6 linked regions of the Xenopus tropicalis genome follow. The protein of the gene in region 4 purifies or fractionates together with the protein of the main gene of each other region. This does not show direct contact. Links are inferred from orthologs where the notes say so. Each region holds a gene or a part of one and is shown on either strand. Other genes may lie near its edges. The genes, in order: ddb2, cul2, cul4b, cops8, cul4a and dcaf1.

Evidence for each region.
Region 1: the proteins of cops8 (region 4) and ddb2 purify together in Homo sapiens (affinity purification with mass spectrometry; 6 studies listed by BioGRID and IntAct, counting the BioPlex papers as one, with this or other methods). This does not show direct contact. The link is inferred for Xenopus tropicalis from reciprocal best matches to the Homo sapiens genes COPS8 and DDB2.
Region 2: the proteins of cops8 (region 4) and cul2 purify together in Homo sapiens (affinity purification with mass spectrometry; 4 studies listed by BioGRID and IntAct, counting the BioPlex papers as one, with this or other methods). This does not show direct contact. The link is inferred for Xenopus tropicalis from reciprocal best matches to the Homo sapiens genes COPS8 and CUL2.
Region 3: the proteins of cops8 (region 4) and cul4b purify together in Homo sapiens (affinity purification with mass spectrometry; 7 studies listed by BioGRID and IntAct, counting the BioPlex papers as one, with this or other methods). This does not show direct contact. The link is inferred for Xenopus tropicalis from reciprocal best matches to the Homo sapiens genes COPS8 and CUL4B.
Region 5: the proteins of cops8 (region 4) and cul4a purify together in Homo sapiens (affinity purification with mass spectrometry; 10 studies listed by BioGRID and IntAct, counting the BioPlex papers as one, with this or other methods). This does not show direct contact. The link is inferred for Xenopus tropicalis from reciprocal best matches to the Homo sapiens genes COPS8 and CUL4A.
Region 6: the proteins of cops8 (region 4) and dcaf1 purify together in Homo sapiens (affinity purification with mass spectrometry; 4 studies listed by BioGRID and IntAct, counting the BioPlex papers as one, with this or other methods). This does not show direct contact. The link is inferred for Xenopus tropicalis from reciprocal best matches to the Homo sapiens genes COPS8 and DCAF1.

Annotation. Positions count from the first base shown.
Region 1 is NC_030680.2:15,446,928-15,450,959, forward strand, and holds part of ddb2 (DNA damage-binding protein 2), read left to right. Parts: intron 1-364; coding exon 365-557; intron 558-654; coding exon 655-755; intron 756-1,168; coding exon 1,169-1,357; intron 1,358-1,433; coding exon 1,434-1,579; intron 1,580-2,111; coding exon 2,112-2,211; intron 2,212-2,355; coding exon 2,356-2,533; intron 2,534-2,612; coding exon 2,613-2,758; intron 2,759-3,910; coding exon 3,911-4,032.
Region 2 is NC_030682.2:21,664,730-21,669,525, forward strand, and holds part of cul2 (cullin-2), read left to right. Parts: intron 1-193; coding exon 194-290; intron 291-828; coding exon 829-939; intron 940-1,953; coding exon 1,954-2,116; intron 2,117-2,888; coding exon 2,889-3,013; intron 3,014-3,863; coding exon 3,864-3,971; intron 3,972-4,796.
Region 3 is NC_030684.2:46,091,335-46,096,709, forward strand, and holds the start of cul4b (cullin-4B), read right to left. Parts: upstream 3,142-5,375; 5' UTR 2,950-3,141; coding exon 2,538-2,949; intron 1-2,537.
Region 4 is NC_030685.2:50,663,100-50,668,359, reverse strand, and holds the start of cops8 (COP9 signalosome complex subunit 8), read right to left. Parts: upstream 3,539-5,260; 5' UTR 3,498-3,538; coding exon 3,420-3,497; intron 3,254-3,419; coding exon 3,183-3,253; intron 1,815-3,182; coding exon 1,766-1,814; intron 1,120-1,765; coding exon 987-1,119; intron 1-986. UniProt on the Homo sapiens protein: Component of the COP9 signalosome complex (CSN), a complex involved in various cellular and developmental processes.
Region 5 is NC_030678.2:116,003,412-116,008,207, forward strand, and holds part of cul4a (cullin-4A), read right to left. Parts: intron 3,699-4,796; coding exon 3,585-3,698; intron 2,748-3,584; coding exon 2,642-2,747; intron 1,352-2,641; coding exon 1,179-1,351; intron 1-1,178. UniProt on the Homo sapiens protein: Core component of multiple cullin-RING-based E3 ubiquitin-protein ligase complexes which mediate the ubiquitination of target proteins. As a scaffold protein may contribute to catalysis through positioning of the substrate and the ubiquitin-conjugating enzyme.
Region 6 is NC_030680.2:127,299,331-127,304,878, forward strand, and holds the start of dcaf1 (DDB1- and CUL4-associated factor 1), read left to right. Parts: upstream 1-2,206; 5' UTR 2,207-2,549; intron 2,550-5,548. UniProt on the Homo sapiens protein: Acts both as a substrate recognition component of E3 ubiquitin-protein ligase complexes and as an atypical serine/threonine-protein kinase, playing key roles in various processes such as cell cycle, telomerase regulation and histone modification.

The sequences.
Region 1 (4,032 bases), on a different chromosome or scaffold from region 4:
CTGCATTAATTCTGCCAAGGGGGGCTCCTTGCCTGCTGCATCATTTTCCCCCAAGGGGGACCCTTATCTGCCCTAAACCCTTCCTAGAGGAAGACCCCTTCTTATTCTTTGCCCAAATGGCAGAACTTTGACACCCAAATACTTTTCCCAAACAGTGGCACCCTACCTGCCATTTTGCATCCTTCCCCTCCTTTCCCTCTGTCTTTTTCAGGAGAATTTTAGAGATGTCCCTGTGTCTCCCATACTTTGTGCAACACCATTCAGACAATCCTGTGCTGCCTTTTTCCAGGTTTGCTGGGTGACAGATATCCTATGGTGGCACCCTTTCACCCAAAGCATTGGTAGTTCTCATTTGCCCTTACAGATGCCCCCCAAAAGAGCAACACGTGGGAGGAGGAATGTGGAGCTGTCTTCAGAGGAGGAAGAGGAGCAGGAAGAAGTTTCCCCAGGAAAAAGGAAACGGGACATAGAGAAAAATGGTGAAGCCAGGCTCAAGAAACCCTCTAAGAAGAGAAGCGGGCAGCAGTGTGCCTCAGATGTACCATGCAGCAGTAAAGGTAATTACCCTGTTATTGAACCTATTGTGCATGGGGGGGGGCTGCTTCATGTGCCCGATGTTCTAACTAAATAACTTTCTTGCCCCCCCCCCCACAGAGTCCGACTGTGGTACAAACCTCACTAACAAAGGAGACAAGCAGAGAAGCATCGTGCACTACCTGTATCGCAGCACTCTGGGGGGCAATGTCCGGGCAAAGGTAAGGTGCACACACCCATGCACAAAGTGGCTTTTAAGGGCAATAGCACTCTCTTGCCACCCCTTCCATTTCCAACTTGGCTGGCAGCAAAAATGTCCCTTCCTAGGCTTTGATTGTAATGCATTTTATTGCCTGCAAACATTTCCAAACTTAAACCCACAATACGCTTTATATTAAATTGCACCCCTCATATTTAGGGCAGTGGCAAATTGAAGCTGCTCCATGTTTGGTCCTTGCAAGGCAGATCATTAGATTAGTGCATTGATAATTCCCTGGCTAACAAAGCTATCATAACAAAGGGTGAAGGGAATAGGGTTTGCATACTGCTAATTAAATATTTTCTTTGCAAGGACTAAAAATGGAGGAGCTTCAGGTTGGTTTAATTATTAATGCATTCACCTATTTCTTTTCAGTACCTGCAAACCCCTTTTCTCCGGTCCCTGGCTTCATACATATTATATCGGACCAACAGCCCCTTTGATCGCAGAGTTACCACTCTTGAGTGGCACCCTACGCACCCGAATACAGTGGCGGTGGGATCAAAAGGAGGAGACATCATTCTGTGGGACTATGAAGAGCTCAATAACACCCTCATTCCTGGGGTGAGTCCAGTTCTTCTCGCCCCGCTGGATCCCTCTCGCACATGGCTACAACTTTGCTGTGTTTTTATCCTTGCAGATTGGAGCCGGGGGGTGCATCACCGGAATGAAGTTCGACCCGTTTAACCCTAATCAGTTGTACACCTCATCAGTGGCGGGTAGCACCGTGCTACAGGACTTCTCTGGGCGCAATATTCAGACATTCACCAACACTGAGGACTGGGCGTAAGCGAGATGGCTCTGTGGGGTAGGCGGGAGTACTGACCCTCAGTGGGGGCGGAATTATTGCTTAATTGGCTGTAGTGTCCTGGTACCCAAGGGCTTTCCCTCTGAAGCTACCACCCAAGGGGCTTGGGTTCCTATATAGAAAATACGATCCTTGCTAGAAATAGTGGTGAGCATAATGTGCCATTGCCCTTTTTAAATGTGATTACTAGCTGCTGCAGATAGGGTGAGCTGAACCCCCCCCTCATGCACAGTATGGCACATATAATTATCTAGTATACAGGCTCCTGACTGGTTGATCCTGTATGCATAGATAATTAAGTCGCCAGTCCAAAGAAAGGAAGCAGGATACACTGTAAAACTGTTTACTTCCCATTTAACATGGAATATCATCATTTTCACAAAAATAAATATTCTTTTTATATCTGTTAATGGCCCATTCCAAACCTGGCACATGGATATAACTAGGGGTGCTTACATGCAGTTTTGGGGCTTTTGGCCTTTGGTTTAACTGCCACTGGTTCTTCCATAGGATGTGGTACTGCAGCCTCGATGTTTCCGCTGAAAGGCAGTGTGTGGTCACGGGGGATAATGTAGGCAACGTGGTCCTCCTGGAGACCTGTGGGAAGGAGGTGGGTATTGTCCAGCCCTGGACTTCCTGTTTTTAGATTGTAAGCTCTTTGGGGCAGAGACCTTATTCCAACCCTATACTGATCATGGTGAATGAAAGTGGTCCCTTGGCACGGGAGACTGACCCTTGGCACCTTTATTCTCAGATCTGGAAGTTACGGCTTCACAAAAAGAAAGTGACGCATGTAGAGTTTAACCCTCGCTGTGATTGGCTGCTGGCGTCCGCTTCTGTGGATCAGACCGTGAAGCTGTGGGACCTGCGCAATATCAAAGACAAGTCCAGCTACCTGTACACATTGCCTCATGCACGTGGCGTCAACTCTGGTAAGCGCTGTTCCCTACACCCGGTATCCTGACAGGTAATCGTGGCCATTTGTGACTCATGGTGGTCTCTCTATTGCAGCTTATTTTAGCCCCTGGGATGGGGCAAAGCTACTCACTACCGATCAGCACAGTGAGATCCGTGTCTATTCTGCGTGTGATTGGGCCAAACCGCAGCACATAATACCTCATCCACACCGGCAATTCCAACATTTGACTGCAATTAAGGTATATAAAGCTATATAAATATAGCATTCATCTATAAAATATCCTAAAGTACAGCACTTAAATATGTCAGTTGTACTGTGAAATGTAAGGATCCTGGCCCGCAGGGAGATTAGTCGGCCGCAGGTGGGAAAAACAGGTGGGAAAAACAGGGCACTTTGTTTCTCTTAAGTCACCCAGAGTTGCCTGGCAAGGAAACTATGGGGAATGGCAAAGCATAGCGAAGATTTATCGCAGTTGACTAATATCCCCAAGTGCCAGTACCCCAAGGATATTCGTCTTGCTCCATATAGCTTGTAGCCTAATCACTTTACATGCTTCCTCCTCAGTTATTTCTAATATCCTTATAATTTACAGTAGGGGGTACATGTTCACTGTATAACTCAGCCTGCAGCCTTGTGCCTTTATATGGTCACAGAGCCCCTCAGTGACTGCTAATATCCTTATCATTTACAGTAGGGGGTACATTATCCCTTATAATACATGAGTGATACTCAGAGTTCCCTGTATAACTCAGCCTGCAGCCTTGTGCCTTTATATGGGCACAGAACCCCTCAGTGACTTCTAATATCCTTATCATTTACAGTAGGGGGTACATTATCCCTTATAATACATGAGTGGTACTCAGAGTTCCCTGTATAACTCAGCCTGCAGCCTTGTGCCTTTATATGGGGGGCACAGAACCCCTCAGTGACTGCTAATATCCTTATCATTTACAGTAGGGGGTACATGTTCACTGTATAACTCAGCCTGCAGCCTTGTGCATTTATATGGGCACAGAACCCCTCAGTGACTGCTAATATCCTTATCATTTACAGTAGGGGGTACATTATCCCTTATAATACATGAGTGATACTCAGAGTTCCCTGTATAACTCAGCCTGCAGCCTTGTGCCTTTATATGGGCACAGAACCCCCTCAATGACTTCTAATATCCTTGTCATTTACAGTAGGGGGTACATTTATCCTTCTTCATACATGATACAAAAAGTACCCTGAAGGAGTCTCTTTGCATGTTCCTGCAGTAAACAGACATTTTGTTCTAATAACCTGGTGTGGGTTTACGGGTGCCTGCCCTTTCTGTTTGCCAAGTTGCTCAGAATCAGGTAGTCCTTTACTTGCCTTTAATGTATTTTTTTTTTTTTTTAAATTTCAGGCCACGTGGCATCCTCGCTATGATTTAATAGTTGTTGGCCGATACCCAGACCCGCTCTTTCCAGGCTATATGTCAGATGAGCTTCGGACGGTAGATGTGTTTGATGGACAGAAAGGGAATAT
Region 2 (4,796 bases), on a different chromosome or scaffold from region 4:
TGATTTGAGTTACACCACTGACCATTACTGTTACAGAGATTTGGAGCCATTATGATGCTGCAGGATGTTCAGTATACTTCATTTCTGACCATTATCGGTTTTAGGGTTTAGTTCTCCTTTCATGGGAAATTCTAGAATATTAAGTTTTGTTTTAGTTTGCCATCACTGATCATTATTTATTTTTATTTTTTAGGGATCGATGTGGGGAAGACCCAAATCAGAAAGTAATCCATGGGGTTATTAACTCCTTTGTTCATGTTGAACAGTATAAGAAAAAATTTCCCTTAAAGGTACCAGTGTCATTATAAAGATTTGGCCTTCTGTGTTGGATAGTTAAGATTTTGCTTGTGTTTTAAGGCAGCTTACATGATAGGATTTTGTACAAACAGATGACCGATTAAGGACAAATTATAAAATAATATAATTATTGTTAAACAGATGGGGAATTGGCAATTGTAGTTTTAAGATTGGTCTGACAATACATATAGGATCTTTTAAACAATACCACAATGATACCACACAGTGCTTTTATTGTGGGCGGATGAATCATGCAGTGGTTGTGCATGTGACTGGGTGAAAGTGAAGCTTTGGTATTGCCTGTGTAACTGTGTGGCTGTATGTGTGTAAGTGGAACTATATCTGGTGCCTCCACAATGATGCAATGTTGCTTGTGCTTGTATAAGTGAATGATATTTTCTGTGTGCCTAATGGGGCAGCTACATTTTGCTCTTGCCTGTGTAGATGTGTGCAATTGTGGCCATAAAGACGCTGCTTACACCGCCTATTGAAAACATTCTTGCGTTATCAACATACTGTGCTTTATTACAGTTTTATCAAGAAATATTTGAGTTGCCTTTTCTGGCTGAAACAGGGGAGTATTATAAACAAGAAGCTTCAAATTTATTACAAGAGTCAAACTGCTCACAATATATGGAAAAGGTAAAGAAAAGTAACAGCCTATGTATTTTTATTGTGGATTTATTAAAATGTATATTATGCTTTCTGTACAATTTATAGGAATTAGTAAGGTTTACCTTACAACTCTGGAACAAAACCATAACAGTAATGGGAGTTAAAACCAATGTAATATTTGGTCAGAGTATTCTTTTGCTCAGAAAACCATAGCAGCCAACCAGATGTTTATTATTATTCAAGCCACAGTATGAATGTAAAAGTTAATTGCTGTTTTGTTGTTATAATTTAATGGAGTGGGGCAAAATTAAAAAAATAATATACTGTTTACATGCACTGGCAAAAGTTGTATGCTTGTCTTAGAAGCACTACTATAGCTTATAATATAATAAAGCTGTGTAGCCATGTGGGCATCCATTCAAGTTGAAATAGGGCTAAATGGCCCTTTTATATTTTGCTGTTACAGGTATAGGACCTGTTATCCAGAATGCTCAGAACTTGGGATATCTTTATATGATTTGGACCTCTATATTTTAAGTCTGCTAAAAATTAGTTTAAACATTAAATAAATTCAATAGGATTGTTTTGCCCCCAATAAAGATTAATTATATCTTAGTTGGGATCAAGTACAGAGAAAAAGGAATTCAGTTTTAAAATTTTGAATTATTTAATTAAGATGGAATCTATAGGAGATGGCTTTTTCCGTAATTTGTACTAATTTGTAATGCATCCCATACCTGTACTGGTCCTTTAAGTACATTGGGCAGCCTTTTTTTTTGTGTGTAAAGGGGAAATTATGGAATATTTAAACTTCTATTAAGTGGAGTGGGAAAACTATAGGGGTTGGTCTTGATCCCAGGGGCAGCAAGTACAAGAGCGATATCAGTTTACAGGTGTCATTGTCCCATTATAACAGCTTTTTCTAAGGAGACTCAGATTAAGTTGCAGAACCCAAACATGAATTTTAAAGCAATCACGTACCTTGTTTTTAATACGTTTTTAAAGATTTCTTGCACATTATTATTTATTATTTACGTGCAGATTTTAGGTAGATTAAAAGATGAAGAGATTCGATGTCGAAAGTATTTACACCCCAGTTCATATAATAAAGTGATTCATGAATGCCAGCAGAGAATGGTGGCAGACCACTTGCAGTTTCTACACGCAGAATGTCACAATATCATCAGACAAGAAAGGAGAAGCGGTAAGCACTGAGCAGTTATTTTTTCTTTTGTTTTAGGTGAAACCATTTTCAGTTTCTCAGCCTTTTAGCCATCATCATAATATATGCTTTGGTTGAGAACTGTATTATCAAAGTGGCTTATTATGATGTTGCTAAGCTTAGGTCAGAAATGGAAAGTCTTTTATTCAGCAGGGGTAGTGTTGATAAGCTAATACTTCTCTTTTAAAGAACAGTAACTCCAAAAAAATTGTGTTTTAAAGTGATTATAATTAACTTTTGCCTTGCACTGGTATTTTTGCTTTAGAAACACTAATATAGTTTTTTTTATAAATAATCTCTGTAGCAATGAGGGAGGCTATTCAAAGGAAACAAAAGGCTCAGATTACATAGCAGATAAGTTCTGTAGAATATAATGGTGTTCTACAGGGCTCATCTTTTATCCGCTATTTAAATCTGTGCCATTTAACGCTATTTAATTTTTAGGTCCCTGTATCAAACAGCTGGGGTGCCCTAGTCCTAACGGGAAATTTTAAAATTTCCTGTAATTCTTTCAAACTTACCTTATTGTATTTACTTTACTCCTTGTGTCCTGCAGCCTCCTTGAATGGCAAGATATATTGTGCTCTATATTGAATGTTGAAAAGTGGGCTTTAATTTAAGGGGATTATAAATATTTTAGTATTTTAGTGTAACAATGCCACAGAGTAAAATTAGTTTAAAAAACTGTTTAAATGTTAACTCGTGATTGTTACAGTTATCACTTTGTGTCACATTATTTTCTGTGGCATTGCAGATATGGCCAACATGTACACTCTTCTCCGTGCTGTATCCAATGGTTTACCTCATATGATTCAGGAACTCCAAAACCATATCCACGATGAAGGCCTTAGAGCTATTAGTAATCTTTCTCAGGAAAACGTGAGTAACCATGAAGCCCTTGATAGCCGCATAAATACTAAATGAGCAGTAGGGATAAAATATGAAGGAGCAGAGCCACGGGCTATAGCCTGCACCAATTGTTTGCTGCTACTTGTACAGGCAGGCATAACGCCCTGTGTGCCATAGACCATAGATGCAGAGCTCCCTGAAAGAGGGAAAAGGAAGGAAACGAGGAAATTACTTCCCTGCCTGACATCTTTAAATCTGCCACACTCATCATTGGATCAGACAGTTGAAAGATATGAACATGTGGCCAAATTCCCCAAATTATCATTTTAAAAACTAATGCGAAACAAAGAGTTAATCTGGCCATATTATACCATAGTCCAAATAAAAAAAAAAGGGTTTGGATTTTAAAGGAATATATCTGTTTATGTACTTTATCTTTAAGTAGCAATAAGAATGAAAATGCCCAAGTACACAAAAGGCCAGCACCACAGAGTGCCACATGCTTCCTGACAAAGAAACTTAAAGAAAATGGCTAATTCATACCGATGAAACATGAAATGAAATGAATTATGGGGAAGTTTTATTTAATCTTTTACATGCCAGCTGGGTTTTATTTATTACATGGTATATTATTAAGACTATTTCCCATTAGAATGTGATTGCTCCAAACTGTGCACAATGAATGTTCCCTCTTTTTCAAATGGCCTTGGGTCAGTATGTCACTAAGTACAGGGAACACTAGCCAGTGCTAATCTCAGATCATTTGTAGTTGCCATTCATGAATTTTTGTATTTTTATAATTCATTTAAATGTTTTAAGTTTTTTTTTTCTTGTAGTTCTCTTTGTGTTTTTTTATAAATGTTCCCTTTTTATCTTTCAGATGCCAACTCAATTTGTGGAGTCAGTCTTAGAAGTTCACAGTAAATTTGTTCAGCTTGTCAACTCTGTATTGAATGGTGATCAGCACTTTATGAGTGCACTAGACAAGGTACAGTAATCAATAGGTCCTGATCATGACCCTATACCACCTTGCACAAACAAATACAGAAATATAATGGGGCTTAACATTTTTACATTTCAGACCCCCACCCCCTACTGTTTAAATGATTTCCCTGCTGTGTCACTACCAAGTCCCATGTCCATACCTACTATTTTAAATGCAAAGTTTCACACTGGTTTTAATAACTTCACATCCGGTGTCTTTCCCCCTGGTGGCAACCTCTGACAAAAGATTTAAAGGCTTTTAGCGCACATGATTTTGTTCAGAGGTGACCGTCAGGGTCTAACCCTGATGCAAGAGAGGTAAGAGTGGCTCTGAACTTACAAACAGTGGCAGTGATGTGGTTGGGGAGGGGGACCTGTGCAGGGCCCTAAACTGGTGGTGGGGTATTAGGGATGGTGTCAGACCAAGAGACCACAACATATAAATAGGATGTACAGGTATGGGATCTGTTATACACAGAAAGCTCCTATAGACTCCAATTTCAGGAAATAATTCTAATTTTAAAAAATGATTTCCCTTTTCTCTGTAATAATAAAGCAGAACCTTGTACTTGATCCCAACTAAGATATAATTAATCCTTATTGGAGGATAAAAATTCTGGTGGGTTTATTTAATGTTTAAATGATTTTTTAGTAGACTTTAAGATATGGAGGTTATGGAAAGATCCCTTATCCAGAAAACATCAGGTCCCGAGCATTCTGGATAACAGGTCCCTTACCTGTAACTGCACCGGTCAAAATATAATAGGACTGACAGCAAAATCTAATGTGTAAGCTACATGAAATATTTTCAATAAGACAAAACACAGAG
Region 3 (5,375 bases), on a different chromosome or scaffold from region 4:
ATAGGCAGAATTTAAATAAAGCCAATGTCACAGCAGAGCCACCTGTGGTCCTAGTAAGTAGTGGAGATTGAGTAGGTTTCACCTGTTACTAGAACTCAGAGAGAAAGGGTTGTGTTGCAGATGATCCCACAGCATGTTACTTCTGACACCCTTAGCAAGCTAAACAGCTGCCTGTGTGTGTCCTAACATATCTGCCTTGCAGGTCATAGGGACAGTAGCCTCCCAAGGAATGAAGATGCTTCCTAGTCAGTTACAGAAGTGTCTCAATGGCATTGACAGGTGTACTTAATACATTTTTTTCCCATTACCCCAGAATAAAAAAACAACCACTCTATAAAAAGCCAGAAAAAAAAACGCAAGTATCCCTTGGTGCTGCAGAGGTTTGCCACTGCAAATACATAGACATACATAATACTCCTTTGTAAACAGTAAACAGTGTATTGTTGCTCTTTGTATCACCGTTTACCAATAAATGTGGCAATGCTCCTTTATACTGTATGAGCAGACAAGTTCTTTTGCCGAGAATTCCTTCATTTCTACTTCAAGCCTGTATATGAAACAGTACTACAATTTAGGTGTGCATTGTGTCTGTTTGATATAGGATTAGTTGTACTATTAGTATATCAGAAAAAATCACAAGCACTTAATACCAGTTGTACAAAAAAATGAAGAGGCTGGTAAGGTCTTTTGCCAAAACAGAGTAATTTTTTTTTTTTACATACAATTACTACTTTTTAAAGGCAAACTAACAGCACAATTTCCTGAGTTTCTACCTTATTTTAGCTGCATCAGCTAAACCTTTATATATAAATTTATTATGGGCATACCCAGGGCTGTATATTGGTCATGTGCCATCCTAGGCACCAGCCTAGTTTACCCCCCCCCCACTTAGCAACTGGTGCACATGCATTGCAGTTTGCATAATGCTCATGCACCAATAACTGATAGAAATTTCTTAGAAATTATTAAATTCCCCCACTTTGCACTAAGGCCTCTGGCACACGGGGAGATTAGTCGCCCGCGACAAATCTCCCTGTTCGCGGGCGACTAATCTCCCCGAAAATGTAAATCGCCAGTGGGATGGCATATGCGGCAGGGCAATTTCAGTGAAATCGCGGAAATTGCCTTGAGGAAACATCCGTGATTTCACTGAAATCGCGCCATCCCGATTTACATTTTCGCCGGTGGGATGGCATTTCGGGGAAATTAGTCGCCCGCGAACAGGGAGATTTGTCGCGGGCAACTAATCTCCCCATGTGCCAGAGCCCTAAAGAGATCAGGGCCAGAAGCCACATTGATACCACTAAACAATCTGTTTGCAAATGTCAACAAACACACTTCTGTGTGGGCCCAAAATGAACCAGCCTGACCTGATTCTGATTAGCCATGTTAGTAAATGGTGAATAGCCTCACAAATCTGTGTAAAGTGTTGCAGTTATCACCTTAACAGTTATTTAGCAGATTGTCTAAGGGCTCTGGCACATGGGGAAATTAGTCGCCCACAACAAAACTCCCTGTTCGCGGTCGACTAATCTCCCCAGATTGCCATCCCACCTGCGAAAATGTAAATCGCTGGCGGCGTGATTTCAGTGAAATTGCGCAAGTTGCCTCGAGAGGAAACCTGCGCGATTTCATTGAAATCGCGCCACCCCGTATGCCCGAGACACAGGTGGGATGGCATTTCAGGGAGATTAGTCGCGGGCGACTAATCTCCCCGTGTGCCAGAGCCCTAAGGGCAAGGATGCTTTCTGTTGATCTGAAACCATCCTACAAAAGCTCCCGTGTAGTTTAGTCCTGAATGTTGCTTCACTAACACCAGCATGATTTGTGTGTTGTGTGTAGACAAATGCCTAAAATAAACAGTGTTCACTTTCAAATTATTCTGGAAGTGGACATTGAAGAAAGATTTTCAGTGTTTTGGCACTGGTCCCATGAGATACTAAAAAAAAAAAAAAAAATGGCTTTGGCCAATGAGTCCCACAGGAATATTGACACTGCAGCTTAGATCGGTTGTGACAAAGATTTTTTTTTTAATAGAAAAGATTGCCTTTGCATTGAAGATATCCCTTAACTGTAGCGCTCTTAGTATTGACACACAGATCTGGTTGGGTCAAACAGGAATGCTTGTAACAAGCATCAAATCCCCTAAGTGCTCCAAAATATTGCGGATCCCTATAGAAAGAATCAAGCATTACCAGCTTAAAACACTTTGGCTTTATGCTGGTTAGGAGTGCATCAATACACAAGCCCTTAGAAGTCAAAACTGCCATTCCAGATAGATTCAACCATAATAAAATAACGCCAAAAGGAAACTGTAATTTTACCATCATGAAAAAACCAAACAGGCAAACGTTTGCCCCAAACTACTGGGTGACACAAGACAGCATGCTAGTTTCTGAATTCCAAATTAAAGGAGATTTTATTTTGACCAGAGCACCCTTGTAATCACCTGGTCCTTAAGCACATTCTGGTCAAAGTATTACACTCCCTGAAGTGACCTATCAAAGAGCTGATTGAATGGTGCCATCCCTCTTTACCTTTAAAGTTCTTGATGACTAACTTCTTGGCTGAGCCAGGCTTGCTGTTGGCAAAACTGGACACGGGTGAGGCTTTTGTGAGGCCATTGGCATGATGCCCAACGCCCACTGGGGAGATGAGCAGGTTTTTACTCCTCACTGCCTGGGGAGTAGAGGAGGATGAGCAGGAAGAAGAAGGAGACTCCTCGGCCATCTTCACATCGAGTCCTAGAAAGTCCAAAGTGTCTTCAAAACGCAGCTTCTTTTGGATGTGGTTAGAGGAGGAAGAGGAGTTTCTGGGGGGCGACAGGGGGTCCAAATCGTCCTTATCGCTGCTGCTGATATTCAACCTTCTCTTTTTGGAGGTGCTGTTTCCCTCAGTCCTTACCTCCTGCGCCGGGGGGTTGGGGGTTGATAAGCCTGTGGGAAACATGAAAACACCACAAATAGAAAAGATTCAAGGCAGCCCAGACTGTGTGTGACCGCTGGATCGTGTGGGGACCGCAACAAACAGCTAACGTGGCCCTTTGGTTAGCGCTTCCCAGTGGCCCCCTCGGCAGGCACTCTGCTTTAGTTCTGCTCGGTGAAGGCCCCGGCCCCGCTCTCCGGATATCCCCACTCTTTTTCTTGTTTATTGTCACAAGAGCAGGGAACCAAAGATGGCCTCACTTCCTCTCGCAGTGCATGTTGGGAAGAGTTCCCCAGGAGGCTGCCGTGAGCCCACACCCCTTCCCAGCCGGGACAGTCAGGGAGCCTTTGACGCCAGCTGCTGCCAAACTATCAAAACCAAAGGGGTAGCGCTTACTGCATTAACTATAGCGCGAAAGGCTGGCTGTGTTCCCTCTCTCCCCTCCCCTTTTTATTCTACTGTGATGTCATGGCAACCTTCGTACCTTGTTTTGACTGACCGGAAGGACTAGCGATGAGGTCTTTCATAATGCCCGACCGTGCGGGCCTCATCCGTCCCCTTTCTCCTCGCCGAGCTTCCGCCTTAGGTTGGTGCCGGCGAGGAGTCCCGACAAGGGGAAGGAAGGGGCTGAGGCTGGAAACTACTCGAGGGGGAGGAGTCGAGGGTTGAATATTCCCGCCTCTGTAGTGACGCCTAAAGGGAATAAGGACCAATAATCAGCTTGGTTTGGGTGACATTTCCCCCTGATGCCTCCACATGGTACCGCCTGTTCAGCAGCGTGGGGGCCGGAGAGGCTTAGAATAGTTACATAAAGGAGAGCGCCAGTAGTTGCGTGTGACGCTTCCCGCTTAAAATGAGTTCCTTGTGGAAGCTCCTCAGTAACTACTCAGTACTACTACTCAGTAAGCGTCAAACATGAAGTTTGTGTCTGAAAGCAATGTATAATGGCGTGTATAGCAGGGATGAAAAGTACATATATTAACCCCACTATTCATTTAAGTGCCAGATTAAAATAAACTTATATCATACAAAGTGGTCAATTTGGGTGATATAATAATCTCTGGGAGAGTAAGGCTTCCCATTGGATTACGCAGCTGTATACCAGATTCTGACTGAAAGCAATGGCTGAATGTGTTTTTTTTTTATAAAGCAGCTATTCTGGGTTCTCTATGTGCTTGTGAGCCTGCATACAAGTTATAACACCAGCAAAAACAACACATGTTAAGCACACCAAAAGGTGTATGCTCATACTTAGTTTCAGCACTTGACCCTATTCAATTGTTTTTTTTTTTTAACAGATATGCAAGCACTGGTCACTGCATAAAGCACTTATGAATCATCTGGTAAAGCTTAATAGAGATGTTACATATAACTAAATAACTAATTTGGGTTGACAAAAGCCCAAAGCCTATCAAGTTCAACATCTCTAAAAACCCCAGTGCACAAAAATACACATACCTATATAGACCAATCTATACACTTACAAATATAAACTATATATACCCAAATAATGTTGAAGCTAGGTGTTTGTAGAACTCACGGGCGTTGCTGCCATGAGGCGAGTTGAGAAACTCACATTAGGCTGTATTGCCTGGCAAGTTACTGGAGGCGGCAAAAAGCCCCTTCAGGTAACTTAAAGAGCCTTGTGTATACTTTAATGCTCATTGTAGATTGTAAGCTCTTTTGGGCAGGGCCCTCTTCACCTCTTGTATCCGTTATTGATTGCTTTATATGTTACTCTGTATGTCCAATGTATGAAACCCACTTATTGTACAGCGCTGCGGAATATGTTGGCGCTTTATAAATAAATGTTAATAATAATAATTTTGGCTACTGGTAGCTTATAGCCCTGCCTACTTCAAACTGGGCTACAAAATTTCACAAGAGCTAACACACAAGTATGCTGTATGAGAAGTTACCAATTGATATAGATGACAATAAGCTCTACATGGCAGGGACCCACTTCCCTACTGTGTCTTGTACCACATAGTACTTAATTGCTGGATATTTACAATAATGCTTGTTCTCCCTGGTTGTACTTTTCTGTATTGTAAAATTGTACGGCACTGCGTATCCTAGTATGGCTATATAAACTTATACGTATATGCCCCAATGTAATTAATTTGATGATGGGGCACTTGTAGCCTCATCTTGCTCCATCCTATACTGTTCACTCCCCCTGCCAAGTGCCTCTGGCATCTTCCTGCACTCCTGTCCAGTTTCCAGAGTAAATGTGGCTTGGGAAGCATGCTGCCCTTAAAAGCATGCTGCCCTTAAAATCATGCTGCCCTTAAAATCATGCTGCCCTAGGTCCAGAACTTTTTTTAGTTTTGGATTGCAAATACTGAATTTTACTTATCTCCTGTATCCACAGTCATCTCTGCATGACTGATGAACATGATCATCTGGCACCATAAAATTTTGCGGGTTCTGCTGACCTCTTCATTCAG
Region 4 (5,260 bases):
GTATAAACAATAGACTGCAGTATGCTAATTATTAGCAGATCATCTTCTAATTAACTTAGTATGATGCAGTGAGCAAATTTCCAAGACAATTTTTTTTTAAAAAAAAGGAAAATAAAATAGGTTTGAAAAGAAAGATAAGCAATATTACCCCCAGTAAATGTGATTTTAGGTTGCTGGGGACACTGACACTAACAACCAGACAGAACTTTCCGTTCTCATGTTGGAAACAGGCAGAACGTGAATAATTGAGGGGAAAAAAAACACATACAATATAAAATAAAGCTAAAATATTACTTATCTAAAAGATGCTAAGGGACAGATTTATCATTTGCCACATTCTATTCCTCTGTTATTCTTAGAAGTGCATCAACCAGAGGCTGAAAGTTAGAGTTCACCATTTGATGATAAATATGCTACTCAAAATGTCAGAAGAATTAATAGAGAGTGGGAACATTTTACTGTGATGAATGTGCCCCTAAAAGTCAATATGCACTTTTCCTTTAAAAGGAGAAGTACATTAATTTTTCTCCATGTTGTATCCAGTGCTCTCCAGTAACCCATGCAAGCCTCTGAATCAAAACAGTCTCTACAGAAACTCAACAGAGCATTGGAGGAGTGAGAGAAGGATGTGGCATGGAAGGGTGCAGGAACACAGAATTGGGAAGCTTTGAAACACACAACAATATCCTGTAAGCAGCATCTTTAGTATGGGTGCCAGCAGATACATACTGATGAAATGACTCAAGAATTTCTTGCATTTTCTTTCAAGAATTTTCTTGAATCTGTAATAAAGCTTGGGATACCTACTTTAGAAAATTTTGTAAGGTAACATTGCTGACAGCAACAAATTTTTGTGATATTTTTAAGTTGTTTTTACAGCCGCCATCAATAATTAGAATTTTACCAATTTACTCCATATTAACCAATCAGAAGTTAATGTGCAAGGAGTCTGATTAGAGCACACCTAGCTGTTAAGGGGGTTATACCTCTTACAGCCTCCATGACTGGTTGGATGGCCTCAGACCACTGACATGCAGAGATGGATGTGTAGATCCCTGGAAAATCTCGCTGCCAGATCTTCTGTCCTACCTCCCAGATCCCACCAAGCTCAGAGTGGGCCTGTAGGGGAACCACAATTAAATGCATAAAGTACTTTTTTTTTTTAAAAGTGGAAACAATCCTATAAGATACATTGTTTAGCACTAGTCCTGGGGATGACCTTGAAATGATTTTTAAACCAGTGCCACTATCCTTTAAAAGTAAGCACAATTAAGTCTGGGGGAAGGAAAACATGCCCATTTCACAAAGATTCTCTGTAAACTCAAAACAGGACAATTTTAATTTTCCTTACCTTTACTCTATGCAAAACTGAGATCCTTATATTACAAAATGCAAAAGTATTTAAATTATTGGAATATTTTTGAATTTCAGGGATGTACACACTGGATACCATGTTAACAAAGAGCAAAGTGAAAATTAGCATATACACATCATGTCAGACAGTTTTAACATTATAACCTGCCAAAGGATTACTTAAAAAGCATTTATACCCTCAATTATTGTACTTCAGGAGCACCCAAAGAAATAAAAAAAGGTTTAGTAAAGAGGTGGGCCAGCTAAGGCTGCAATAAGCATTCAATGAGCCATGTATTCACAACCATTCAGAACCTAATAGGGTTTTGTAGTAGTAATAGTAGTAGTAGAAACTAAGCTAATACGCTCATAACAGCAAGTCACGTCAAGCAAATCACATGACATTACTTACGGATTTGATTGCTGGCGGAATTCTTTTCCATAAATAACGTGCATTATTCCTAATAAAGAGAAAAAGCACCAAAAATGTAAAAAGTATTTTAAATTATTTCATAATTAAAAACTGACACTTTTATTCATGAATATGTTCACATAGTTTTACAGGTGTACAAGCACTATTACGACTAGTTTGTTGCTTATTCCTTCTGTCACTTGGCCATATAATGGATCTTACATAAAAAAAAAAACAAAAAAAAACAAGATTACCGCATTTTAATGCAAATCTGGGTGTTTTACTCCACAATACTATACCCTCCCTTCCTAGGACTAGGAATAAACACATGATTCATGAAACACTCTGTAGAATAAAATGTAATTTAATAAAATTTGCCCAATACTGTTCTTATTGTGAAGATAAATACAATAAATACATTGTAGCCAAATAAAGCAGTACTAGGGAGAATATGATTTATGGTCAACCCCGTTCATTGATATCTGTCAACTAGATTAAACCTAGCAGATGGGGCTGGGAGAAGCAATAGTTACACATATACCTTTCAATAAACATAAATTGTATTAAATTAAATTTCTATTAGAAAGTACCTACTACCAGTGAGTACACATTTGCATGATCAGCATTCTCTTCCTATTGCTATGGACACTAAAGTCAATTTAAATATTGAGTGAGATTGCTTCACCATTTCAAACTTTACAACCAATGCATGGAACACTGACCAATCAAAGGACAAATTATACCAGTCAAAGATGCAATTCAATCAGCCCTATTAGAGGAGGCGTGACTAGCCAAAACCATGCGACACCTGTCAAACTGCCAGCCAATCAACTGGTAGCAAGCAAGGACACCTTTATATATAGGAACAATGGTCCAGTAATGTTTATTAATAATTTGTAGCTACACCTCCACCTCATGAATACTCCTGTAATGGCAATGCAGAAATCACATAATGTAAGGAAACGATTCCAAGGGGCTGCACACACAAAAGTATGCAGCACGTTGTACTGGTGGTAAAAAAAAGTTTGCTACTTTTGATGTCTGATGTCACGATCAGGAAAACATGACTTATTTATATAACGTGTAGTGTTTCCAAAGTAAACTATTTTTGCCATGCAGGGTAATACCTACAGCACATGGAGCTTAGCTTCACTGGGAATGAAATGACAGGGGACTTCATTATAATGACAAGCTGCAAGGGGACATTCAGCGACCCTTTTACTTTTTGGGCATTACTGCTCCTTTAAATTGTATTCAGCTGTATAAAGAGCCATTCAATGAACAGCTGGATACTATGCCAATGGGGCACAGAGGTCTATGGCCTTTAGGTTGTCAGGAATAGCCCTGAGGTGTCCATAGTAATTGTGTCAGGCAGAGAAGAGATAGAAAACAAGTGAAAGAAACAGGAGAAACTTACATGTCATTATGCAGCAAGTACAATGCCAAGAGCTGGCTGTACACCTGAGGGTTGGCAATGCCTCCTGGAGCCTGGAAGACACATCTCTGGGTTAGAAAGAAGGTGACGATGACAAAGATTCTAATAGAAAAGACAACATAGCATGGTTTCCTACTGAAGCGCCTTATAATGACACATCTCCCTATCCCACTGTCACACTCCGCCCCACGCCAGGCAGCTAGGAATAAAACCGAGTACCTCAAGCTCCTGTTCCTCGCACTGTTCCTGAAGCCTCTGAAAAGACACAGGATTTTGAGCCATCACGGCCACTGGCATCTTCTCCCAGGGCCCCCGGGACCTCTTAGGGTCGCTGCAAGTTCCCAGTGGCTAATGGCCGCAAGTGACGTCACGAACACGTGAAGACGCGGTGACGTCTCCAGCACGTAACGTTCGGCGCATTCTTCAAATGGCTGGATATATAGATTTTACGTGAGTGCGGTTCTCAGTGCTTACTTGGGGATTCCATGGAGGAGGAGTTCTCTATTAGAGTCTGGGTAGCATTATTTATTTATTGGGACAGGATTAAATGCAGGAGTTTATTAAGTTCTTGCCTGAATACTGGGGCACTTTCTGTTCAGTAAGGCTGTGGATCTATTACGAATTTGTTTGTCTCTGTAAGTGTCTTAATATTAGGGGGTTACTGGAGCCTGCTTATATGTGGAGGGTGGTTGTTGAATTTTTTTGTGTGACCTTGGGTTGATGTGCTGCACGATTTTGAGCTATGGAGAGGAGTTTTGGAGTGTGCTGATGTTTTTGTGGTAGATCATTTGGGGGGGGGGGGGGGGTGGCTGTTTTTTGTGGGGGGAAGGTTTGTGTGCTTAGTCTGTGTTTTTTGGGGGGGGGGGGGGGGGGTTGTTAATTTTCTTGGTGCTGTTTTGCTAGGGTGCATTTTTAAGGTTTTGTTTTTTTTACCCAGAACTTTGAGGGGAGATTGGGTTAGTCCTAGTGTGGGAGGAACAGTGTGTGATGAAATTAGATGAGCTGTACTAGGTTTATGTCTGTGGGGGGCATTTGACTCTAGAGCAGTGTGTAGGGAAACTAGACATATCTATCACATAGTGGGTTGTGGCAGCAGGTGAGGTCTCTAGTTATGGATGGGGTGGTTTGGAGGTGTGTAAGTAAGGCATTTTGTAGTGTTTGTGTCCCTAGTTGTATACCTGACTGTGGGAAAGTGAGGCAGCATGTGTCACCCCTAGGTATGTTTGTGCATTTAGGGCTCAGGTTAGGGACATTTAGAAGCCTATATCTTGTTTCAGAATTGGAATTACACAAAAATTCTACCATAATTTGAAAGTTTGGGTTGTCCTGAAAAAACCCAAAAACAATATATATTGTTTTCCTGGGTAAACTAAAAGTCCCCCAGAGGAAAGGCCCCTAAGTGAAACCATGCAAATGTTCAAAAACTGACTGGCAATACAAGTTCTGCTTTGACCAAAATGGCTGGCCATGAAAGGGTTAAAGAAGGAAAGCTGAAATCACTGGGGAGTTTCAAATGTTAAATAGTTACATAGTTACATAGGGTTGAAAAAAGACCATTGTCCATCAAGTTCAACCCATCCGAGTAAACCCAGCACACAACCTATACTAACCAATCTATACACTCACATACATAAACTATATATATACAACCAGTAATACTAACTGTAGATATTAGTATCACAATAGCCTTGGATATTCTGCTTGTTCAAAAACTCATCCAGGCCCCTCTTAAAGGCAAATAGTGATATAACTGATACCCTAGGCTGGAGCTCCTGTTAGCAGAAAACTGCACTAGCCCAGCCACACCATGGAGAGATCACCTAATTCCATTTGTGGAAGACATTTATATGTGGATGTGCATCCAGATGCATACACATATCAGGTCCTTGGAAAACCATGTGATTTCACAGTACTTAACTATAGAAAGCTCTCCTATGGCTGCTTTAGGGCTGTGACACATGGGGAGATTAGTCACTGCGCAACAAATCTCCCCAAAATGCCATCCCACCGGCGAGAATGTAAATCACCGGTGAGATGGCATACTCGGTGCCGCGATTTGC
Region 5 (4,796 bases), on a different chromosome or scaffold from region 4:
TGATCATTTCACTGGTTCTATAATGATCCTATCAAGGTAGGCATGCATAGAATTCGCTGTGTTAATAGCTTTTTAAAGTTACTAAATGTTTATTTGAAAACTCAATCAACAAATAACATTTTCTTTGCTGTGGAAAATCATGTTGTGGGTCTGAGAGATATTGCAGCAGCCATTAGTTGTGCAAGTGAACTAAAACATTTCTTAAACATTCTCCACAGTGTAGCGCCAGTGGATAATAGCATAAATAGATAGATCAGCGCTGTCCAACTTCTGTGGTACCGAGGGCCAGAATTTTTCTGGCCAACACGGTAGAGGGACGATAATGGAAGCCAGTTTGACCACTCCCCCTTTTAAAACCACACCCACTTAAAATCACACCCATGTTATCACATAGCTTTTAAGACTATACCCACATTAATGGTGATAGCGCAGCAAAACCCCAAATGGTTGGTGCTCACTGTAGGGATATCAGCCTTCATTCATATGTGAAAGAATTATATTATGCCATATTAAGACACAACCTTAAATTCTTATGCCTCCTCTTCCCCTGTGGATAGCACAGCAACCCCCAGCATATAATTACAAATTTTAGGGACCATATAATGACTATTTTTAAATGCTATCAAACTCCCAGAACAAACCCCTGCCAGGTTCACCTCCCACAGGCAGCATAGGGCAGGCAGAGTATGGCACACACAGGCAGGGTAGGGCAGACAGAGTATGGCACATAAGCAGCATAGGGCAGACAGAGTATGGGACACACGGACAGCATAGAGCAGGCAGAGTATGGCACATACTCTGTCTGCCCTACCCTGCCTATGTGTGCCATACTATCTCTGCCCTATGCTGCCTGTGTGTATGGCACACACAGACAGCATACACTGACACAATGCTTGCACTGCTCCTACAGTCTGTCTGAGGTGTGAACAGATGCAGGGGGTGAACAATGCAAGGATTAAAAGGTGTGAACAGTACAGGAGATTACATATTTAAACAATACAGGGGGATTACAGCCTGAATATGAGGTGTGAACCATGCAGGGGGCCATTTAATCTCAGTACTGATACCATTTAAAGCTTCCACAAAGGTAAATCATCAAAGCAGCTAGACAGGTGGGGGGGCAACACAGAGGGGGCCAGTTGGACAGCCCTGAGATAGATCTTATAAGAGATACTTACAGTTTCTTTCATTTGTATTTGGTTGATTTTAATTCTGTATAGTTTGTGCTTGAAGTCGGCATTAAAGCAAAACCTGTCTCCATCCTCCACATCTTTGCTCTTTGGTGATTTATTTAAAACTCTGGCTTTACCACATGCAAGGGACTGCAGCGTTCGTCTCAGTTCATTATCCTCTGGTTAGGACAAGACAGAGCATTGTAATTAATAATTGTATTTAAAATTATGAAAGTCTGGGTTCTTTTCTCCTAAAGAGTGGTAAATAAACTATACATTCTAATTTGTGAGTACCATCCAGATTAGCAAGATACACTATGTTTCTGTGTTACATTTATGCTCCCAGACCACCTGATGATTGCAAAGTAAGAATAGTCAAGGCACAGCATAAAAGTGAAAATGTATGATCTTGTGTGGTCATATTTTAAAGATATTGTGTACATGAAAGGGACATTACTTTGTTAATGGCTATATACGAGAAGTGTAAAAAAAGGGCATGACAGTGAAGTTAAAAGAAATATCTGAACTTTTATCTGTGACTTTTAAAGAGAGGGTGGAAGAACTATTTTCTCACCTCTTCTTACAGTTTTGCTCAGAAGCAGAACTTTAAGTAGAAGTGAGAAAATTGTTTTTCCACCCTCTTCCCCCTTAATTTATATACTGCTTCAGAAATTGTTATTACTGCTATTGCTACTATCATGCCCTCATCTGCAGCCCCGTGTTTTGTGATTTAGCTTGATTCTGCCCTATCTTTTTCAATTCACATTCCAGAAAACTAAATTAGATATGGCAGCAGACATGCTAAATGTGCGGATTACAACATCCATATATTTTGACGTGGGAATATAGGTAGGACAAGGCAAAGGATTTGTGTGCCTACTCTACCTGCTTTTGACACTTTCACTTTAAACAAGGAGAACATACTTTTTTTTTTTTTTTTTTTTTTTTAACATATTGTTAAATTCCCTAGCTTCTCAGCCCTAAAATTGATCACAGTATCATGATGCCACCACAAACAGCAGACTGAGTCCTTCTATAGTTGGTACCAACTAGAAACAGGGTCGGACTGGGCCCCGGCTCTAGTGGGCCCCGGCAGCCCAGACCCGACCCTTGCTGCGCTCCCTCTGCCCGACAGCTCCTCCCGATGCGTTAAATTACGCGTGCTCGGGGGCGGACGTCGGGTGGGGGGCGCTGCGGGGGGGGGAGACTTAGGGGACGCGGCCGGCGGGGACACCTGCAGGGCCACTGGGGCGGGAGCACAGTGGGCCCTTCACCCCCCAGTCCGACCCTGACTAGAAATAGAAGGTGGGCCCAGGTTATGGTTAAACATACATCATGAAGCAAAAACTGGAGGGCAGCTCTCAAGCCCCCCATCCCCAACAGTTCTGGAGGCTTTGCAGTCTCTTATATGCCAGAGGGAGGCGATTATTATTAAGTATACAAATACTGATCTCTGTCAAAGTTCTCACCAATTCCAGTTGTTATTTTAATTTCTTCAAAGCCAAATTCATCTCCCTTATTAAACAAGAGAAGCACCAAGGTCTGAAAGAGAGACACTTGCAGTTCTTTTTTCTCCTAAAAGTAATTTAAAAACAAAAGTGTCAAGATTTGGAAGGAAGGGAAATGTTTAGCACATTTATGCTGAAATATATTTTTATTGCAAAGCTGTTGAAAAAGGAAGTTATCTGTGGCCCATGCTGTATTACAGTGGTTTACAGGCTTTATTGGTTTGGGACAACCACCTAGACCCAACACTGGATAAGGACTTAGCCCATGCAAGGTTATGGAAATGTCAATACGGCTGTATCAATAGACAATAGTGGTCACCCAAAATCTCGTCCAAGTGGACCTTCTAACTGTGCTTCTTAAGGCAGGTGGCACACATTGTGGATTGTTGGCTTTCCTCCACAGCTGGTTTTTATAAAGGCAGAGAAAAGCAGATCCGCTCTCATTCGCACACCCCCATAGCTCTAATACCAGGCCCAGTATCAGCCTGCCTGGAGCTACAAAGAACGGATATCAGAGTAAAAATACATACGTTTGTGTTTTTATGCCAATATGCGATCTGTGTAGCTCCACACAGGCCAATGCCAGGCCTGTCAGTGGAGCTATGGGGTTGTGTACATAAGAGCGAATTCGCTTTTCTCCACCTCTATAAAAGCACCTGTGGCTGGGATCCTACATTGCAAAGCTGACGACTGGCTAGGATCCTACAGCACAGCCTGGGGAAGCAGGTGACTGGAACAAGCTAGGTTTTTGGAAACATTTCAGTAAAGCAGTAGGAAAAGCAACTTTTAAAGGCACGGTACATGGTAAATAGTTGGTCTTGATGTTCTGTGCTTTCTCTTTCAACAGTACTCAATAGTGAGTACTCTCTATGACCAAAATTCCAAATAATTTTAGAGAACTTACTTCTTTAAAATCTGCTTTCAGAACTGCATGCCCAAGTGTTGACTGCCACTGTAGTCTTCTGCCACTATGTTTTCCTAAATAAAATGTTTTAAATATTTCCTGAAGTTTCACCATCTGAAAATTGAGAAGATACTTGTATAAAACAATGCAAAAGAAAATAAATAATCACCAGAGAAATAAATGAAACACCACAAGGTGGCAAGATCATAGATACAACAAGCTGCACTCTATCAGGTGATAAATGCCAACATAAATATTGTTTGAATGTCTGGATATATTTGACACCTAGTATGTGCAGTTTAGATTAGAGACCACTCTGCAGTTCAATATAAAAGCTGTCTGTCTGTCCAAATTTTCATTATAAGTTGTTCTTGATGGGTGGTCAGAAGTGGCAGATGAGGATCAAAACATTTGGCTTGTCAGCTGAACAGGCAGAACAGTGCTTTTTCACTTCCCACATGAACAGGGCTGTGGAGTCGGTAGATAAATTCTCCGACTCCAACTCCTCAGTTTCTGATACTTCGACTCAGACTCCGACTCCTCTGTTTTTAATATGCTAATGTATTTATACATTCATACAGTCAATGAAAAGCATGCTTCATGGTCACTCAATGTGTTCGTTTATGCACTGCGTGCATTGGGCTTTATTCTTATAGCAGAGAAGTAATTAATTATGAATTGGGACATTTAAACTCGCTTTATTTATTTTTTTTATTCCCATTTAAATTTAGTAGGAGTCGGAGTCGGTTAATTTTTTGCCGACTCCGACTCCAAGTCCCCAAAATTGCCTCCGACTCCGACTCCACAGCCCTGCACATGAATATCCAACTGTTTGGCCTATGGGCTGATCCACTGGTTAAGAATAAGGGGGCCCATTCATTAAAGCACTATTTTTTTTTTTATCAGAAAAAATCATATTTTTTCAAATTTATAGAACTTTTCACAATAACCACGATAATAGTGTCAAAATGACATGACTTTTTCGTGATTTACTTTAACTTCCACGAAAAAGTCGTATTTTTTCGCAAAGACTACGACCGTATCTGAATTCATTCAAGCTTTGGTGTCGTGACTATCTTTTGGCCAGGTTGGAGCTGTAGAGTGCTATTGAGTCCAACGGAAGGCTTCCAAAATCACGCATTGAAGTTTTAAAGCCAGAAAGGTTTTTGCACCGTTTACAATCATTCAGATCCGAAAATTTTGTGACTTTCA
Region 6 (5,548 bases), on a different chromosome or scaffold from region 4:
TATAACTCTTATTAACATTAGGCTTGCAGTGGCAAAATTACTCCAAATTGCCTTTTTGGAGGGCTTTAAGCTCCTATAGAAAGTTAGGATGGTCAGAACAAAATAAATGTCTTTAGTAAGGACTGGGGGGTGCAGGGTCCACTGCTGCCCCCCCCCCCGACAACCTCCCCTGAGCGCACATAAATTTAACATGTCAGGGGAGGAACGGTCGGGTCTGGGCCGCCGGTGCCCACCATGATTTTTCCCGGTGTCCCAGGAGGCCCATTCCGACCCTGGAAACAGCCAATAAATCACTGAACATAGCTCATATGACAAAGCAAATTAACCACCAGCCCACTAAATAGTAACTGTCTAGGGCATCTTACAGCAGCCCCTCTGGCATTTGCCAGAACCCACAGATTGCAGGTCTGGGTCTACTGGGCACTAAGCAAGTGATGAGCCCAGCAGTTTTGCTCTTTAACATCTACCCCACACAACATTTCAGCTTGATCTTCCTGACATTGATGCATTTGATTACACACAGAACCCAAGAGGAATTTTTTTAAAGGAACGGTTCAGCATAAAACTTAGTAAAATAGCTGTGTAAAATAAAAAAAATATTTCAAATATAGTTGGGCAAAAATGTTATCTATAAAGGCTGGAGTTTGGAGAGTGGAGATGGCTAAGGGCAAAGACAGACGGGAGATTAGTCACTGCAATTTTGAAAAAATCCGATCGTGGAAATATGCGGTGTGGGACAAACTGCTATTGTTCTTGTTCTTAAAATGGCTGTGACTTATCGCCCTGTCTGTCTTTGGGAGGGCCACATAGAACATAACTGTTCACTTAGTTTACTTTTGATCCTTATCAGGGAGGATAGATTTAAAAGCAAAGAAAAGTAGTGTTCTGGCTATGTTAGACATCTGCTCACTCCAGCCTTTATACATGCACATTTTTGGTTAACTATATTGAAAATATTTTTTTATTTTGCAAAGCCTACTTACCGAGTTTCATTTTTACAGTGAACCATTTCTTTAATGACCCCAGGTGGCAACCCTATTTCACCCCAATTACATATTATGCAGTCATAAAGCAGTGGCCCCAATCACATACTATCAGGGGTGCAACTGCATTGAGCAGAGTGGAAAAACTCACCTCAGGTGAAACGCGGGGGGTGGCAATAAGCCTCCTGGTAATTACTGGAAATTTGATTTATAAGAAGCAGGGCCGCTGCTGGCCAAATGGGTCACTAAGCAGAAATGTACTTTTGTGCCCCCTCCCCCAAATATTACGGAAGTAAAAATAAAATAATAAAAAAAAACACCTACTATAGGGGCCCCACACACAGTGCCCCCATAGACAATGCCCCCATAGTAAGTGCCCCCATAGATTGATTAAACTATCTGGGACAGCGGGATGCGCTATAAAAACCGGCGGGACAGTGTTGGGGGGTATGTTATAATATATAGAAATGTTTTTTTGAACAGCTGGGATGGTGCCCCCCTGGGAGTTGGTGCCCTATGCAGACTGAGTACTCTGCTTATAAGGAGCGGCGGCCCTGATAAGAAGAAATTCTGTCTCATCTAGTGCAGAGTTCTATTGCGCTCTCTGCGCTAGCAATACGGCCCCCCCAACTAAAAAAAACAGCGTGAAGAGGAGGGTGACTTCCCCAGGGCTGCACTAGGGACTGAAAAGCCCCTGCATATTATGCATTAGCCCCAAAGTAGCCCCCGGCATTTCATGTACACAGAGACCCAAACAGCCCCCCCCAGCCCAATAAATAGTGACTGTCTATGGCACCTTACAGCAGCCCCTCTGGCATTTGCCTGAACCCACAGATTGCCAGCCCAGGCCTACTAAGTCCCAACAAGAGATGACACAGTGGTACCAATATTAGTAAAGACGCCCCTACCAATCGCTTTTTGATACAGTGGCCCCAACAATTAATGCCATAGTGACCCCAAGTCTCAAAGGGTTGTTTGAAATTTTAGGGAGTAGGGAGTAAGTTCGTGTGCGGTAGAAGGAAGAGACAAGAGGTGTATTGTGGCAATGAGAAAGCCTGACAGGCAGAAAAAGAGAAAATGTGACAGCTGTATGAGGGCGGGGGCGCTGGGGAGACGAACCAGCGAAGGGAAAGTCATAAAGGGGAGACCTTGGAGAGAGGCGTGAGGGGGTGGAGCTAATAAGATATGTTGGCGCTGTTTTTGCTCGTCGTAGAACGTCCTAAACTGGCCGCCGTAGTTTCTTTGTAAACTACACTACCCATAATGCCACTCCGCTCTGTAGAAGAGGGAAAAGCGAGCGCGCAAGGTGGTGACGTGTAAAGTGAGCGCCGCCCAAGCGGCTGTAGTGAGGGGAGAACGTGAGAGCCAGGGACAGGAGGCGAAACGTAGGGGCCGGAGTGGGGGACAGCGCTGCAGGGAAGCAAGGAGCGAAACGAGGGAGAGGCCGAGAGGGACGGGCACGGAAGGACAAAGAAAGGGACCCTGAGTGCAGGACGCGAGTGAGAAGGACTCGGGACACCGACTGGTACAGAGTCGGGGAGAACAACCGACATACCGGTTACAGAAGTAAGTGGATATTTGGCGGATACATGCCTTATCAGAGAGGGGAGGCCTGACGCGGGGGCTGAGGTGCAGCAGGAGTGGGGCAGCGGCAGCCGCCGGGTCTGTGCGGGGAACTGCTCGGGCGCCAAGTGGTGACAGTGACAGCTAACGGGGCTGGCAGCACGGCCGGTCCTGTGTGGGGAAACTTTTTCCCTCAGGAGGCCCAAGTATAGAAGGGAGTTTCGAACGTTAGACTGTCACTGTAAGCAGCTACATACACATGTTCTGTAACTAACTTCTGCTACATTGGTTTAACAATCGCTAACAGTAGCGCAAAAAGGAACAGACAGTTGCAGGTTTCTATGGCAACTGATAGAAGTATTTAAATGTCTGTATGATTTGTTGCTTAGAATTGCAATTTCTTTCCTTAAGAAACATTGTCTATTTGGGTTTACATCCCATTTATTAACTCTTTGCTATTGTGACAAGGCCATTTTTGAGTTTGGGGATCCCATTTTTGTTCTGACTTATAGGTTAAGGAACCTTACACTGTACTGCAGCCAGAAGCCCTCTGGCATTTGGTGACCTGTAACTTGCATCCCACCTAAGGGATCCTGACAGTCGGAGTCAACCATGGAAGACTCATCGGCAGGGCAGCTATGAACTCCATTCATTTTTTTATTTACATGGGGGCCACTTGATCTCTAGTTCCTTCTCTGGGCATAGGTGGGCTTTGAATAGACAAGCCAGTAAGATGAAAAGCAATGGTGCTGGGAAAAGCTAGAAAGGTAAACAATCCAGGTATGAAGATATGTAGATGGGGATGTCCATCTGCTGTTGTGACCTGCAGCTCCCTGGGGCATGTTGGTAAAATGTAGTCGGGCAGATGGCAAGGATACATTTTGATATTGCTGGTTCCGAATAATAATGGTGAAGAAGGGAAATCCTTAACTTGTGGCTTTTATAATGAATGAGTTATGTTTTTGAATGACTTCTAGGGATGCCAGGTGCTGTAATTTAACAAAAGTTATTGTGGGCTTAGCTGCTTATGAGGATTGTAGCTCAGCAACAGTATGAGAACAGCGCAGCACTCTTTCAAACTCAACAGCCATTTCACTCCACTTTGCTTTGGAGGGGGGGGGGGCAGTGTGGTTTCCTTGGGCTAATGCACCCTGAGCACCCACGAGCTGGATTGTCAGTCTGTGTCACACAGGCAGATGCAGTGCTTCTGGGTGCAGGCACAGTTAGAATAGTTTTCAAGCCTACTGACGGATTGTCTGTGGGGCCTTACCCTAAGGGCTGGTATGATGAGCCTATTAATGATTTGACAGGGACACAATACTCTCTATAATATACAACTAAAAAACTCAAGGATGCAGTTTGTGTGATGAACAGTATATGCAACATCTATCAGAACACTGGTGCAAGACCAGAAAGGGAGCATTTAAAGGACAACTAAACCCTAAAAATGAATAAGGCTAGAAATGCATTTTATATAATAAACTGACTGCACTAGCTAAAACTTTCAGCATCTCTATAGTTGTAATGATACAGGTCTTTACAGTTGTCACGGGAGCTCCCCATCTTGGATTCTGTCTGGGATAGTGCACATGCTCAGTGGCCTCTGAGAAGCCAAGATTAGGGGTTGTCACAAATTATCAAGCAGAAAATGAGACTGGCCTGTCATATAAACTGATGCTACAGGGCTGATGATAAAATCCTGATGCTAATTGCACTGGTTTCAGAGCTTCCATGTTATGTGAATCTGAATGAATTACTTATCATTTATATTCTATATATACAGTATATAGTGAGTGGGCCCCTAAGCTCAGTAAATGAAAGCAGCACAGAACATGTGCAGGGAATCGGCAGAAAAGAAGATGGGGGGGCTACTGGGGGCATCTTTGGGGGCACAGATCTTCCATACTAAAGGGCTGTGGTTGCCGTGAAAAAAATGCATAACATTTCTAGCCTATTTCTTAAGTTTGGCTTTAGTGCTACTTTAAAGGAGAAGGAAAGTCATTTTGGCATTTTACTGCCAATACATTCACCACATTAGTGCCACCTATAACAATATATTTATTCTGAAAAAAGCATTACCGTACCGAGTAAAGAGCCCTAGAAACTCCCTCCGTTTGGCTGCTTGGGTAGCAGGAGAAGGGAGAGAGCTGTGAAGACTCCCAGGAATGATGAATTTTTCTGAGAGAGGAAGTCAGATACCAAAGTACATGTATACACAAATGAAGACAAGAAATCCTGTGTTTCTTTTGATAGAGGACTCAGTGCAGCTTTTCTGTGAGTGCTTATGGCTGTATTTACATAGACCTTGCTGATAAAGCTTACTTAGTTTTTGCCTTTCCTTCTCCTTTAAGGAGTCTGAGTTTTCTCAAAATGTGCTTAGGGGAGCTCTCTCTTTAACCAGTCTTTAGTTCCCCTTTAATTGGTAGATTTAATTTGGCCATGTTGGCACTGGAAGTCTTTTAATAGCTTAGAAGAGCGGGTATCCTGAACAGCTTACTGAGAAGTATTTAAACATAAGTACTCAACTGGTCAGCAAAATTTTGCTTATGAGATTGTCTTTCTCCCAAGCCAATGATCTGATCATACTGCAGGCCTATGGTGCCTCATTTGCACATCAGCCTGGTCCTCTTACCCAGTGGGATTTTCTAACATACCCAATACATATGTGTCCAATTTTCAGCCACAGTCTTTAATCAGGCTGTATATGGCCAGCTTTACCTGCCATTATCTAATCATCTGCCTCTTCACACCAGGACATTCCACTCTGAACCAAGGATTCAGGGTTCGGCCAAATACGAAAATAGTGGATTCAATGCATCCCTTGAAGGGACTTCAGAAAATGCTGATTTCAGTTGCAATTATATTTACAAATACCTTTAAAACCAATGTACATTTAACACCCACGGAAGAGCTTAGAATTACATTTTCACCTTCATAACGTAAAAATGTTATGTGTAGCTTTAAAAACACCTATAAACAGACTGATCATGGTATGGCTATTG